Linked DNA regions of Arabidopsis thaliana. The protein of the gene in region 1 interacts with the protein of each later gene in a pairwise test. Each region holds a gene or a part of one and is shown on either strand. Other genes may lie near its edges. The genes, in order: NAC089, KEA1 and DGD2.

Evidence for each region.
Region 2: the proteins of NAC089 (region 1) and KEA1 interact in a protein complementation assay, tested with the Arabidopsis thaliana proteins (one large-scale study listed by BioGRID).
Region 3: the proteins of NAC089 (region 1) and DGD2 interact in a two-hybrid assay, tested with the Arabidopsis thaliana proteins (one large-scale study listed by BioGRID).

Annotation. Positions count from the first base shown.
Region 1 is NC_003076.8:7,376,012-7,379,764, reverse strand, and holds the start of NAC089 (NAC domain containing protein 89), read left to right. Parts: upstream 1-1,988; 5' UTR 1,989-2,266; coding exon 2,267-2,468; exon of another isoform or gene 2,469-2,648; coding exon 2,649-2,902; intron 2,903-3,068; coding exon 3,069-3,299; intron 3,300-3,385; coding exon 3,386-3,721; 3' UTR 3,722-3,753. Other genes in the region: NIT4 (nitrilase 4), read right to left, coding at 1-120, 202-364. UniProt on the Arabidopsis thaliana protein: Transcription factor involved in plant cell division.
Region 2 is NC_003070.9:282,621-286,373, forward strand, and holds the start of KEA1 (K+ efflux antiporter 1), read left to right. Parts: upstream 1-1,729; 5' UTR 1,730-2,015; exon of another isoform or gene 2,016-2,101; 5' UTR 2,102-2,160; coding exon 2,161-3,731; intron 3,732-3,753. Other genes in the region: PLIM2b (GATA type zinc finger transcription factor family protein), read left to right, coding at 299-433, 512-611, 694-716, 824-913, 1,193-1,462. UniProt on the Arabidopsis thaliana protein: Electroneutral K(+)/H(+) efflux antiporter involved in chloroplastic K(+) homeostasis and osmotic adjustment, especially during plastid division and thylakoid membrane formation.
Region 3 is NC_003075.7:238,980-242,732, reverse strand, and holds the start of DGD2 (digalactosyl diacylglycerol deficient 2), read left to right. Parts: upstream 1-2,153; 5' UTR 2,154-2,495; intron 2,496-2,521; exon of another isoform or gene 2,522-2,694; 5' UTR 2,695-2,713; coding exon 2,714-3,001; intron 3,002-3,171; coding exon 3,172-3,438; intron 3,439-3,618; coding exon 3,619-3,753. Other genes in the region: AT4G00560 (NAD(P)-binding Rossmann-fold superfamily protein), read left to right, coding at 466-702, 831-990, 1,087-1,274, 1,363-1,486, 1,578-1,708, 1,780-1,935. UniProt on the Arabidopsis thaliana protein: Involved in the synthesis of diacylglycerol galactolipids that are specifically found in thylakoid membranes. Specific for alpha-glycosidic linkages.

The DNA.
Region 1 (3,753 bases):
GAGAACCAATAGCCAATTCAAAGGTAGAGCCACGTGGATATCCACCGATGAAAGCCTCCGGGAACACCACTAGCTGAGATCCATTCTCCGCTGCCTCAGAAAGCAGTCTCTCTGCCTTATCTGACAAAATTTCGTGGATAAGGCATCGAAAGCGATCTCACCAACCATAGTGAATCAAAAATCGAGAAAACAGGAACGAACCTAGCGTGGCGGGAGTATCGTAGAAGACTGTAGAGGCTTGGACGACTGTAGCTCGTACGATGGAGGAGGAATCGCCGGCGGACATGTCAATCTCAGGGAAGATTTGATGGCCGTTGGTCTGTGGAGCCGCCGTCATGTGAGACGTTTCTTGTTGCATGGACATGAGAGAATCAGAGAAAGAGAGAGATTCCTTTTTTTTTTGTCAAAGAAGAAAGATTCCAATTGTGTTGTATCTTGTTTACTTGGTTGGTGTGTGTTTAACTTTGATATTATCGTGTATTTTATAAACTCTCTCTTTTTGTGTGTCGATTCTTTTTTAGTGAAGGGAAAAATGGGTTTAAAAAATCCTCATTTTCTCTAAAAACATTTACAATAACCATCACCTATATTGGTATTTATATGCATGCATATTGTACGATGGAGGAAGAATCGCAAGTGTATACGTCAACCACGGGAAAGATTTGATCGATGTTGACCGGAGGAGCCGCCGTGACTAGAGACATTTATTGGTGACTGGTCAGTTTGTCACCAATAAGATATATAGAGGAAATGAGTGATTCTAGTAGTAGTATCTTCTTGATGGGCTTGGTTGGTAGGTGTTTACTTGTACAACACATGATATATATTTTGATTTTTACTCTCTTTTTAACTGTAGGGGGAAATGCCAAAATGTGTAAAAAAATCCTCATTTTTTTCTAAAATCATCACCTATATTTATAGATTTTTTACAAAATTCAAAAGATAAAATACCCCCTCGATAACAAACCAACCTTAAAAACCAAACAAAGCGTTTGTTTATATATTTTGGTTGTTACTTGTTAGCATTCAATATTAATTATTGTTTACTTTTCGAAGGTATGAGGATTAGAAGATTAGATGTTTATCTCTTTTCTTAGTTTTAGACTTGATCTATATCCTTGGATGGTGTTATAAAAGGTATCGAACTCTTTCACGTATCATTAGCTTTTGACTAAAATATTGTTGAAGAGTTCTATTTTTTAGTTCAAAGGCCTATGAAAGGAGGATTTTTAATTCTAAAGAGTTTTGGTATGAAAAAACTCTTAAATCATATTATCGTTATCGATCATTGTTGATCTTGACAAAATATAAATTTGTTGCTGAAATAATTTGGAGAATTTCTTGTTATGATTGTTTATAGTTTCCGTTCATCATCAACTTTAAACTTTTAATTGTACGAGAAACTTTCAAAGTAATTTTTGGATTCACATCACCAAAAAAATTAACAGAACAGAGTTAACCACGTTAATATCACTTTAGTTTTTTTACAAATAATGATTTGAGTATAATTTGATCGTAATTTGTAACCCCATTTCATCATGGAAACAACAATAAAGTTCACTCATACATTTCGTTTTCCCTGTCGTACCTTGACACAGAAACATAGTCCACAGATTTTACTACTAATACTATTTCGAAGACGTACGAGGTTTTACGGAGGGAGATTTGCGAAAATTCACCTTTCTTGTTTAGCTTTTTTGAACATGAGTTTTTGATTAAACTTAACTATATGGAAAGTCTTGTGGAGCAGTTGAAATCCATCAAGAAGGATAAGTTTTCTTGTAATGATAAGTGGTTAACCCTTAAGCTTCAAATCAACAAAAACTTTGAGGTAACGCTTGTTGATTACGAGATCCTGAACAAGATATTTTGGGATATATAATTGTGAGCGATTGATCGATAGTAAGATTTCGGATATATATTGGGACTTTATCTGAAAACACTAAACAATAAGTCGTAAATTGGGAGTACGTAAAAACATTAAGGGTCTAAATGAAATAAAACCTATAATATAACTAGGTTTAGTGACGTGGCATGCACACGTAGATTAAGCAATGCCTTGGCAACACGTATGCAAAAACCCATATGTGTGCACCTGTGAAGTGTTCCAATAACAATTCAAAAGCTCCCTGAGCAAGTGAGAAGAGACCACACTGAGAAGAAAAATCCTTCAGGTTATCGAAAATTCCCGGATTTTACTCTTTGGGCGGTGGCCGATTTCTTACGCGCTCTTTTTGTGGCGACTGTTGTATACGCGCGAGCCTTCATGGACACGAAGGCGGTTGGAGTTTCTAAGGATACGGCGGCGTCGATGGAAGCGTCGACGGTGTTTCCTGGGTTTAAATTCTCGCCGACGGATGTGGAGTTGATTTCGTATTACCTGAAGCGGAAGATGGATGGCTTGGAGAGGTCCGTTGAGGTTATACCGGACCTTGAGATTTACAATTTCGAGCCTTGGGATTTACCCGGTTTGTCTTCGAATTCGAACCAATTGATTCTTTTGTGTCTTTCTTCTACTTGGAATTTGATTTTGTTGTTCTTCAGGCTTCAGGAGAGATCTCTATTTTGGGTGCCTAAGATATAAAGTTTCTATTTTTTGGCTCTTGGATTGGAATTGACAATTTTTTTTGTGTGTTTGTTCTTTGCAGATAAGTCGATTGTGAAATCTGATAGCGAGTGGTTCTTCTTCTGTGCGCGTGGGAAAAAGTATCCACATGGTTCACAGAACAGGAGAGCAACGAAGATGGGATACTGGAAAGCAACTGGGAAAGAGCGTGATGTGAAGTCTGGTTCTGAGGTCATTGGAACAAAGAGGACGCTTGTTTTCCATATTGGTCGTGCACCAAAAGGCGAAAGAACTGACTGGATTATGCACGAGTACTGCGTGAAAGGAGTATCTCTGGTAAAACTGTTCTCGAGAGTTTGTTTTTTCTTATAGATTAATTGTTAACCATTACATAAGAGGTGGTGACTTTGGCTACTTTTTGAGTCTCTAAGAGGAATACAGTAAAATTTTAGGAGTTTTGTCTTTGGCTTGAGTTGATTGATTATGTTTATGTAAATTCTAGGATGATGCTATGGTTGTTTGCCGGGTTAGGAGGAACAAAGAATACAATAGTGGTACAAGTCAGAAGGCACCAAAGCCAAATTCATCAGCCGAGAAGCATGCGAAAGTCCAAAATGGCGCTACGAGTTCAGGGAGCCCGTCTGATTGGGACAACTTGGTTGATTTTTACCTAGCAGGTGAATCAGGGGAGAAACTACTCGCTGAGATGGCAGAGTCATCAGAAAATCTACAGGTTTTGTCACCTGGCTTCTAATTGTTGTATGATGGTTCTTGATTGTTGTCGTTCTTCTTAATGAATGTTATGTGTGTGTGGTTTAGGTGGATAATGACGAGGATTTCTTTGCGGATATCCTAAGAGACGAAATCATCAATCTCGATGAAGCGGTGATGACAGGGAACACACCAAACGAAGTGCCAACACTAGAATCAGCATCAATGGAGATAAGGGTACTTCCTTTACCAAACATGATAGACAAACAAATGTCATCACTGTTAGAGGAAAGACCATCACAGAAGAAGAAAGGAAAAGACGCCACGGAATCATTGTCGAGCTGCTTCGTGGGTTTATACTCGATCAAATCAGTGAACAAGGCACGATGGGATGTTATTATAGGTGTAGTGGCTCTGATAGCAATGTTGTTTTATCTAGAATAAGAGGCTTATGGAAGTAGCGAAAAACAGTGTCC
Region 2 (3,753 bases), on another chromosome or scaffold:
TCATTTTGCAAAAAAGATCAAAGAGAGAGAGAGAGAGAGAGAGAAAGAAAAAAAGGAAAAAACCTTCCTCCGTTACAACCTCACAATTGCAACAAAGTTTCATATAAAAGAGGACAGAAATTTCGCAGGTTCCTCCGTTGTCTGAGGTAAAGGTTTCCTTCTTTAACTAATTCCTCAGATGACCTCTTGATTTGTTGGAAAAAAAATTAAAAAATCTGTTTCATACAGGATCTTGGAGAAGGAAGGAAACAACAACAACCAAAAAAAAACCAAAAAAAAAAAAGATAAAACAAAAAAAATGTCTTTCACAGGAACTCTCGACAAATGCAATGTTTGTGATAAGACAGTCTATGTGGTGGACATGTTGTCCATTGAAGGAATGCCTTACCACAAGTCTTGCTTCAGGTGTACCCATTGCAAAGGAACCCTTCAGGTGCACTCATTACTCATTTTCTTGTTAGATCTTCTATGATCATATTATATCAACAATTTATCTATGTGTTGATGGCAGATGAGCAACTATTCCTCCATGGACGGAGTTTTGTACTGCAAGACTCATTTTGAGCAACTCTTCAAGGAATCTGGCAATTTCAGCAAAAACTTTCAACCAGGTTCGTATTATAAAATCTCTGACATCGAATCTCTCTATCTTTCAAATCATCATGATCATAACAAGTCTCTTTCTTTTCTCAGGAAAAACTGAGAAGCCAGAGCTGGTAGGTTCATCATTACATGTCCTTGTATATGATTAGCGTGTCAATATTTCATTTTCTTTCTTTTATGATCGACTAATAGGATCTGTGTACTGATTTAAACATTACAGACTAGGACTCCCAGCAAGATATCTTCCATCTTCTGTGGAACACAAGACAAGTGTGCCGCTTGCGAAAAAACTGTTTACCCTCTTGAAAAGGTTAGTGGTATACGCATCTGCAAATGTTCTCATGGCCTAAAATACCAACGAACTAGTCTCGTAGAGAAATTTATTTGCTCTAGAATTTGTTTTTTGTTTTTTCATTTCCGTAGAATTTTTCTGTTCGGATAAAATCATTACTAGATCAAATGGAAATAAAATTTTGATTTTGGTTTGGTTTAGTATACTTTTGGTTCGATTTGAGAACGTGATGTTGGTTGGTCCAAGCAAATGTGGAATCAATTTTGGCTTGGTTCTAATCGGGTTATTTGGTAACAGATACAAATGGAAGGAGAATGCTTCCACAAGACATGTTTCCGGTGCGCTCACGGTGGGTGTACGCTGACTCACTCCTCCTACGCCTCCTTAGATAGCGTTCTCTATTGCCGACATCACTTTAACCAACTCTTCATGGAGAAAGGAAACTACGCTCACGTCCTCCAAGCCGCCAATCACCGTCGCACAGCCTCAGGCAACACTCTTCCACCGGAACCTACCGAAGACGTCGCCGTGGAGGCCAAGGAAGAGAATGGCGTTTCAGAGTCTTGAATATCTCTTACATGAGTGTTTTTGAGTGAATGATTGAATGAATGTTGTTGCGGGGGAAAGATTTGATTTCATTTGTAATGAGTTGTTTCCATATGAAGACATGATTTTTTTTGTTATTTTTTTAATTCATTCGTTATACATTTATTATTACACACGAAAAAAAGGCAAGAATTGATGTTTTTTCACTCTATGTGTGCTGCTTATGATATGCTTTCCGATGGTGATGATGATATTCGATGTAATATCTGTTCGGTTCAAAGATACCAAACTACTTATATACCGGATCAAACCAAGTGGTTATCGGGTGATGTGAATCATTCATTATTTCGTTAGGTGAGAGAGGGTGTTTTCGTAAAAGTATCTAAAAACGGCCTTAGCAATGATGTCTGGTTGGCGAGAAACTCAAAAAGGAGGAGACAGAGAAAGTTGTTTGACTGGGAAAATTTGAAGAGACGAGCCAAAATTATCTGTTTGAAACGAACGGAATTGAAGACGAGAGCCACTCCTTTCCGTTTCCACCTTTCTTCCATTCTTACTCAACTTTCCATGATTGGTTAGCCTCTCTATCTGTCCGTGGCTTGTCGTTGATTTTTTTTATCTTGGTCGTCTGAATGTGTGGAATTTCGTTTTGCTTCACAGGAGTTGTATATAAGGTTCGAGGAATAAAGTAAGGCTACTTTTTTTATTTGATTTCCGATATGGAGTATGCGTCTACTTTTCAAAGGCCGATTCTATTCCATGGTGGAGATGGTGCGAGTTACTGCTTTCCAAATCGATTGATAAGTCCTAAAGGAATCAGCATTACATCTGGGGATTCTAAAGTGCATTCGTGTTTTCGATTGAGGAGAAATGTAGCACAAAGTGGTACATTGAATTTGATGAATGCGTGTTTCTCTGGAAGGTTTTATAGTGGTCATTTGCATTCTACAAAATCAATACTTGGCAATGGCCACCAAGCCAAAAGAATCCCTTTTGGATTTAGGTTACGTTGTCAGGGTCATGAATCTCTGGGTAATGCCGATAGTAATGATCATCGGATCGGGGAATCTTCCGAAAGTAGTGATGAAACTGAAGCTACAGATTTGAAAGATGCGAGAGTGGAAAACGACACTGATAGTTTGGAGGAACTCAAGGAGTTACTACACAAGGCAATTAAAGAATTGGAAGTTGCTAGGCTCAATAGTACCATGTTTGAGGAAAAGGCTCAGAGAATCTCAGAAAGAGCCATAGCACTCAAGGATGAAGCTGCTACTGCTTGGCTTGACGTAAACAAAACCCTTGATGTCATTCGAGATACTGTTTATGAGGAGGCTCTTGCTAAAGAAGCTGTTCAAACGGCTACTATGGCCCTGTCTCTGGCTGAAGCTAGGCTTCAGGTTATAGTGGAATCACTTGAAGCTGGTGCAGGGAATGATATTCCACATGTGTCTGAAGAGACTGAGGAAACAATAGATGTTAATGATAAAGAAGAAGCTCTTTTAGCTGCCAAGGATGATATTAAAGAATGCCAAGTTAATTTAGATAATTGTGAGTCCCAACTGAGTGCTTTGCTGAGCAAAAAAGACGAGCTGCAAAAGGAAGTGGACAAGTTGAATGAGTTCGCTGAGACAATACAGATCAGTTCGTTGAAAGCCGAGGAGGATGTTACCAATATTATGAAATTGGCTGAACAAGCTGTAGCATTTGAGCTTGAGGCTACTCAACGCGTTAATGATGCAGAGATTGCTTTACAGAGAGCAGAGAAGTCTCTCTCCATTTCTCAGACCCCAGAGGAAACTCAGGGCCAACTCTCGGATGAAGAAACTTCTCAGGAGGATGCGATGGTACTTTCAGGTAACGTTGAAGATGTTACCCATCAGGTTGAAAAAGAATCACCTAAAGATGGAGATCTACCAGTGGTACAGATCACAGCTGAACTTGTGCCTGATATAGTTGGTCAGAGGAATAAAAAACTAACTCAGCCTTATGAGTCAAGCGATCATGAGAATGGAAAGCCAAGTGTAGAGTCTTCTAAAGTGGTTGAAGCAGATTCTGAAAAGCCAAAGATTAATGTTCAGACAAAAAAACAGGAAACTCAAAAAGATCTGCCAAAGGAGGGTTCCTCTCTTAATTCTCCCAAGGCATCGTTTAATAAATCCTCCCGTTTCTTTTCTGCATCTTTCTTCTCTTCTAATCCAGATGGGACCGCGACAGTGTTTGGTAGTCTGGTTGGTTCTGTCAAACAGCAATGGCCCAAACTAGTTCTTGGGCTTGCTCTTCTTGGAGCAGGGTCAGTTTGAAAATTTACTCTT
Region 3 (3,753 bases), on another chromosome or scaffold:
CATTCTTTTTTTCTTCAAAATGTGATATGTTTTAAGAAAAACAATGCCAAAAAGAGGGCTTAAGAACAAGAACAGGGTTAGTTCTAGGTCAACCTGTACTTTTCCTTTTTTTTTTTGGACATTTTTCCAACTTCTTACGATTATTTCTGATGATAATGATTACAACTTTATATACTGTTTTGGCAATAATAAGCCAATAATGATATCTTTCTTCTACATTTTCCTGCTTTACCATTTTTGTTCTGATACCAAAAGGTTTAAATGGTTTCGAGATTCAACCAACTTTGAAGAGTTGTTAATGCAGTTGCAGAAGCATGTTAACCGAAAATCATTCCAAACCGGAGAATATCAACTCGAACCAGAATACCAAACCGGAAATTCCAACAGTGATCGTGCTATGTTTAAGTTAAAATTTAAATTAAGCAAACACCGGAGAGTGATTGGATCGGGGAATTTGGGAAAAGTATGGAGAAGAAGACGAAAGTGCTAATTGTGGGAGGTACTGGATACTTGGGTCAGCATCTTCTTCAAGCTTTCGCCGGCAACTATGGCGGTGAATGTGAGCTATACGACGTCGCTTTCACTCACCATTCTTCTCCACTTCCCGCTCGTTTGCTCGACGCTTTCCCTCATTCCCCCGCGTTTCCTGTCGATCTTAAATCCGGTCTAGGGCTCAATTCCATATCCCAGGACTTTCGTCAGGTTCCGATTTCGTAATCTCTAGCTCGATTAATGTTCTTTCCTCTAGGAATTGCTTGGTAAATGAACATGTGAATCTGTGTATTAGACTCTCTGGTCTGAAAAGCAACACTTTGTTCCATTGATTATAGCCTGATGTGGTCGTGAATTGTGCTGCTCTGTCTGTCCCACGAGCTTGCGAGCAAGATCCAGATTCCGCCATGTCCATCAACGTACCTACTTCTCTTGTAAACTGGTTATCAAGTTTTGAGACTAACAAAACCTTGTTGATTCATCTCTCTACTGATCAAGGTTAGTTGCCAATTGCATTAGCCACTGTTATAGTGTTAATCTCATCATGAGTCATGACTTATGCTTTTGCACTTGGTTTTCATGTCTCAATTTCAGTTTATCAAGGTGTCAAGTCTTTCTACAAGGAAGAAGATGAGACTGTTGCAGTCAACGTTTATGGGAAATCAAAAGTTGCAGCAGAGCTTCTCATCAAGGATAAGTGTCAAAGCTTTGCAATATTGAGAAGTAGTATCATCTTTGGTCCTCAAACTGTATCACCTCTCCCCAAGACTCTCCCAATTCAGGTGCTTCTTAACACAATTTCTCAGAGATATATATACACACTTGAGTTCATTGAGTTAGCCATGAAACTGGTCGTCTTTTATGTTTTAGTGGATTGATAGCTCCTTAAAGAAAGGGGACACGGTAGACTTCTTCCATGACGAGTTTCGTTGCCCCATTTACGTTAAGGATCTTGTGAATATCACTTTCAAATTAATAGACAGATGGGTCTCTGGTAGATTCTTTTTTACTGAGTTTCATTCTCTCGCTCTGCATCATTGTACATAAAATGTAGAATCATAACAACATGTTGTTGCTGCTTTCAGATGATAAACAGATGCGGCTAGTTCTGAATGCTGGTGGACCCGAGAGGCTATCTCGTGTTCAAATGGCTCAAATGGTTGCAGAAGTCAGAGGATACGACCTGTCCTTGATTAAACATGTGTCTGCATCATCGGTATGTATGAGGCTTTCACAAATGAATCTCACTTGTTGAATATTGCAGATCAGTCACTTAATGAGTCTCAGCTATTTTGTCAGATTGATCGTGGCGTAGTGTCACCAGCAGATATATCTATGGACATAACTAAACTGATTCATACACTTGAGCTCTCTCCAACTTCTTTCAAGGAAGGTGTTAGGTTAACGCTTGACTCTGAATCTCATTCTCATATGCTCCCATGATAGTATTCCCTTATGTGCTCTTCTTTACCACTCTGCTTCTTTCTATGGAGAAAAATCTCGGTTTGAGAAAACCAATGTAAAACGGTTGATATGGTTTCGGAATTAAGGTTTGGTTTTCAATCAATAATTGTGGGATTGAAACGGCACACAGTTTGAGTAAGCAATGGGCTTGTCAATAATTGGGCCTACCCTATAACACTGGTCAAAGCCCGGCGTTCTTAACTTTGAAAGTGAAACTTGATGATGTTTAAATGTAAAAGAAACGACACGTAGTCTAGACACGCAAAGTCGTTTTTAGATTCTTCTTCGTTCTAGACTTGGCGGAAAAAGAATGTTGGAGATTGGAGGATCCTGCGAAGACCAACCAGTCTGTTAATTTTGTATAAACAATGAAACGAAGAAGATCTTCCGAGAATATTCTCTCCTTCTCACGCATACCCTAGAATATTGTTTCGTCTCTCTTCCTTCTACGTTTGCTTATTTGCCCCAACTCGACGCGAATCATCAGCTTTTATAAATTCTGTCAACTCAAAGATTGTTTCTGAATTGGAATCTTACAGGTATGGCTTCATTTTTTTTTTTTTTTTTTTTTTTTGATGTAATCGAAAATCGCTTGAATCGTGTGAAAAGATTGTTTGAATTTGCAGAAAAATTAAGAATTTGTAGTCGAATGTTATCCTTATTGGGAAGATGCAATAATCAGATCAAACTCAATTACAAGAATCTATTGGTTTACTCTTTTTGTTTGATAATTTGTAGAGGTTTAGCTTGAGATGATATGACTAATCAGCAGGAGCAACACATTGCGATATTTACAACAGCTAGTATTCCATGGCTTACGGGAACTGCTGTTAATCCTCTCTTCCGTGCTGCCTACCTTGCAAATGATGGGGAAAGACGGGTCACGTTGGTGATTCCATGGCTGACTTTGAAGCACCAAAAGCTTGTCTACCCAAATAGCATCACTTTTAGTTCCCCGTCAGAGCAAGAAGCTTATGTCCGCCAGTGGCTTGAGGAGAGAGTCTCTTTTCGTTTAGCCTTTGAGATACGTTTCTATCCTGGAAAGGTATGACTCTCAAGAATCTTCTTTTGGGTACCAAACACATACTGCTTCCTTTCATAGAGTCGATTGTTTCATTTCCGTGTGATATAGAGTTGAATTCTTCCATTTCTTTTACGTAGTACTCTGTGACTGTGTTGTGCCAACCTTAGCAATTCAAATTTATCTTATGGCAGTTTGCTATTGACAAAAGGAGTATTCTTCCTGTTGGGGATATATCTGATGCCATTCCTGATGAAGAGGCAGACATTGCTGTCCTCGAGGAGCCTGAGCATCTCACATGGTTTCATCATGGCCAAAAATGGAAAACTAAGTTCAACTACGTCATAGGAATCGTACACACTAACTACTTGGAATACGTTAAAAGAGAGAAACAAGGCCGTGTCAAAGCATTTTTCCTCAAATACTTAAATAGTTGGGTTGTTGGCATTTACTGCCACAAGGTAAACTTCTTTCTTCTTTACAGCCACTAGGACATGATAGAGTGATTGCTCAATTATGTGAATATATCCAATGGCTGGGTTTAATTTGAGAATCAAGACAGTTTGTTGGAATGTGACCACAATTATGGCCGGTCCTTTTGATGTGAATCAGGACTTGTACCAATGATGTTACTCCTGCAGGTAATCAGGTTATCTGCTGCGACTCAAGAATACCCTAAATCTATAGTCTGCAATGTTCATGGCGTCAACCCTAAATTTCTCGAAATTGGGTTGAGAAAACTAGAACAGCAGAAGCTCCAGGAGCAGCCCTTCACT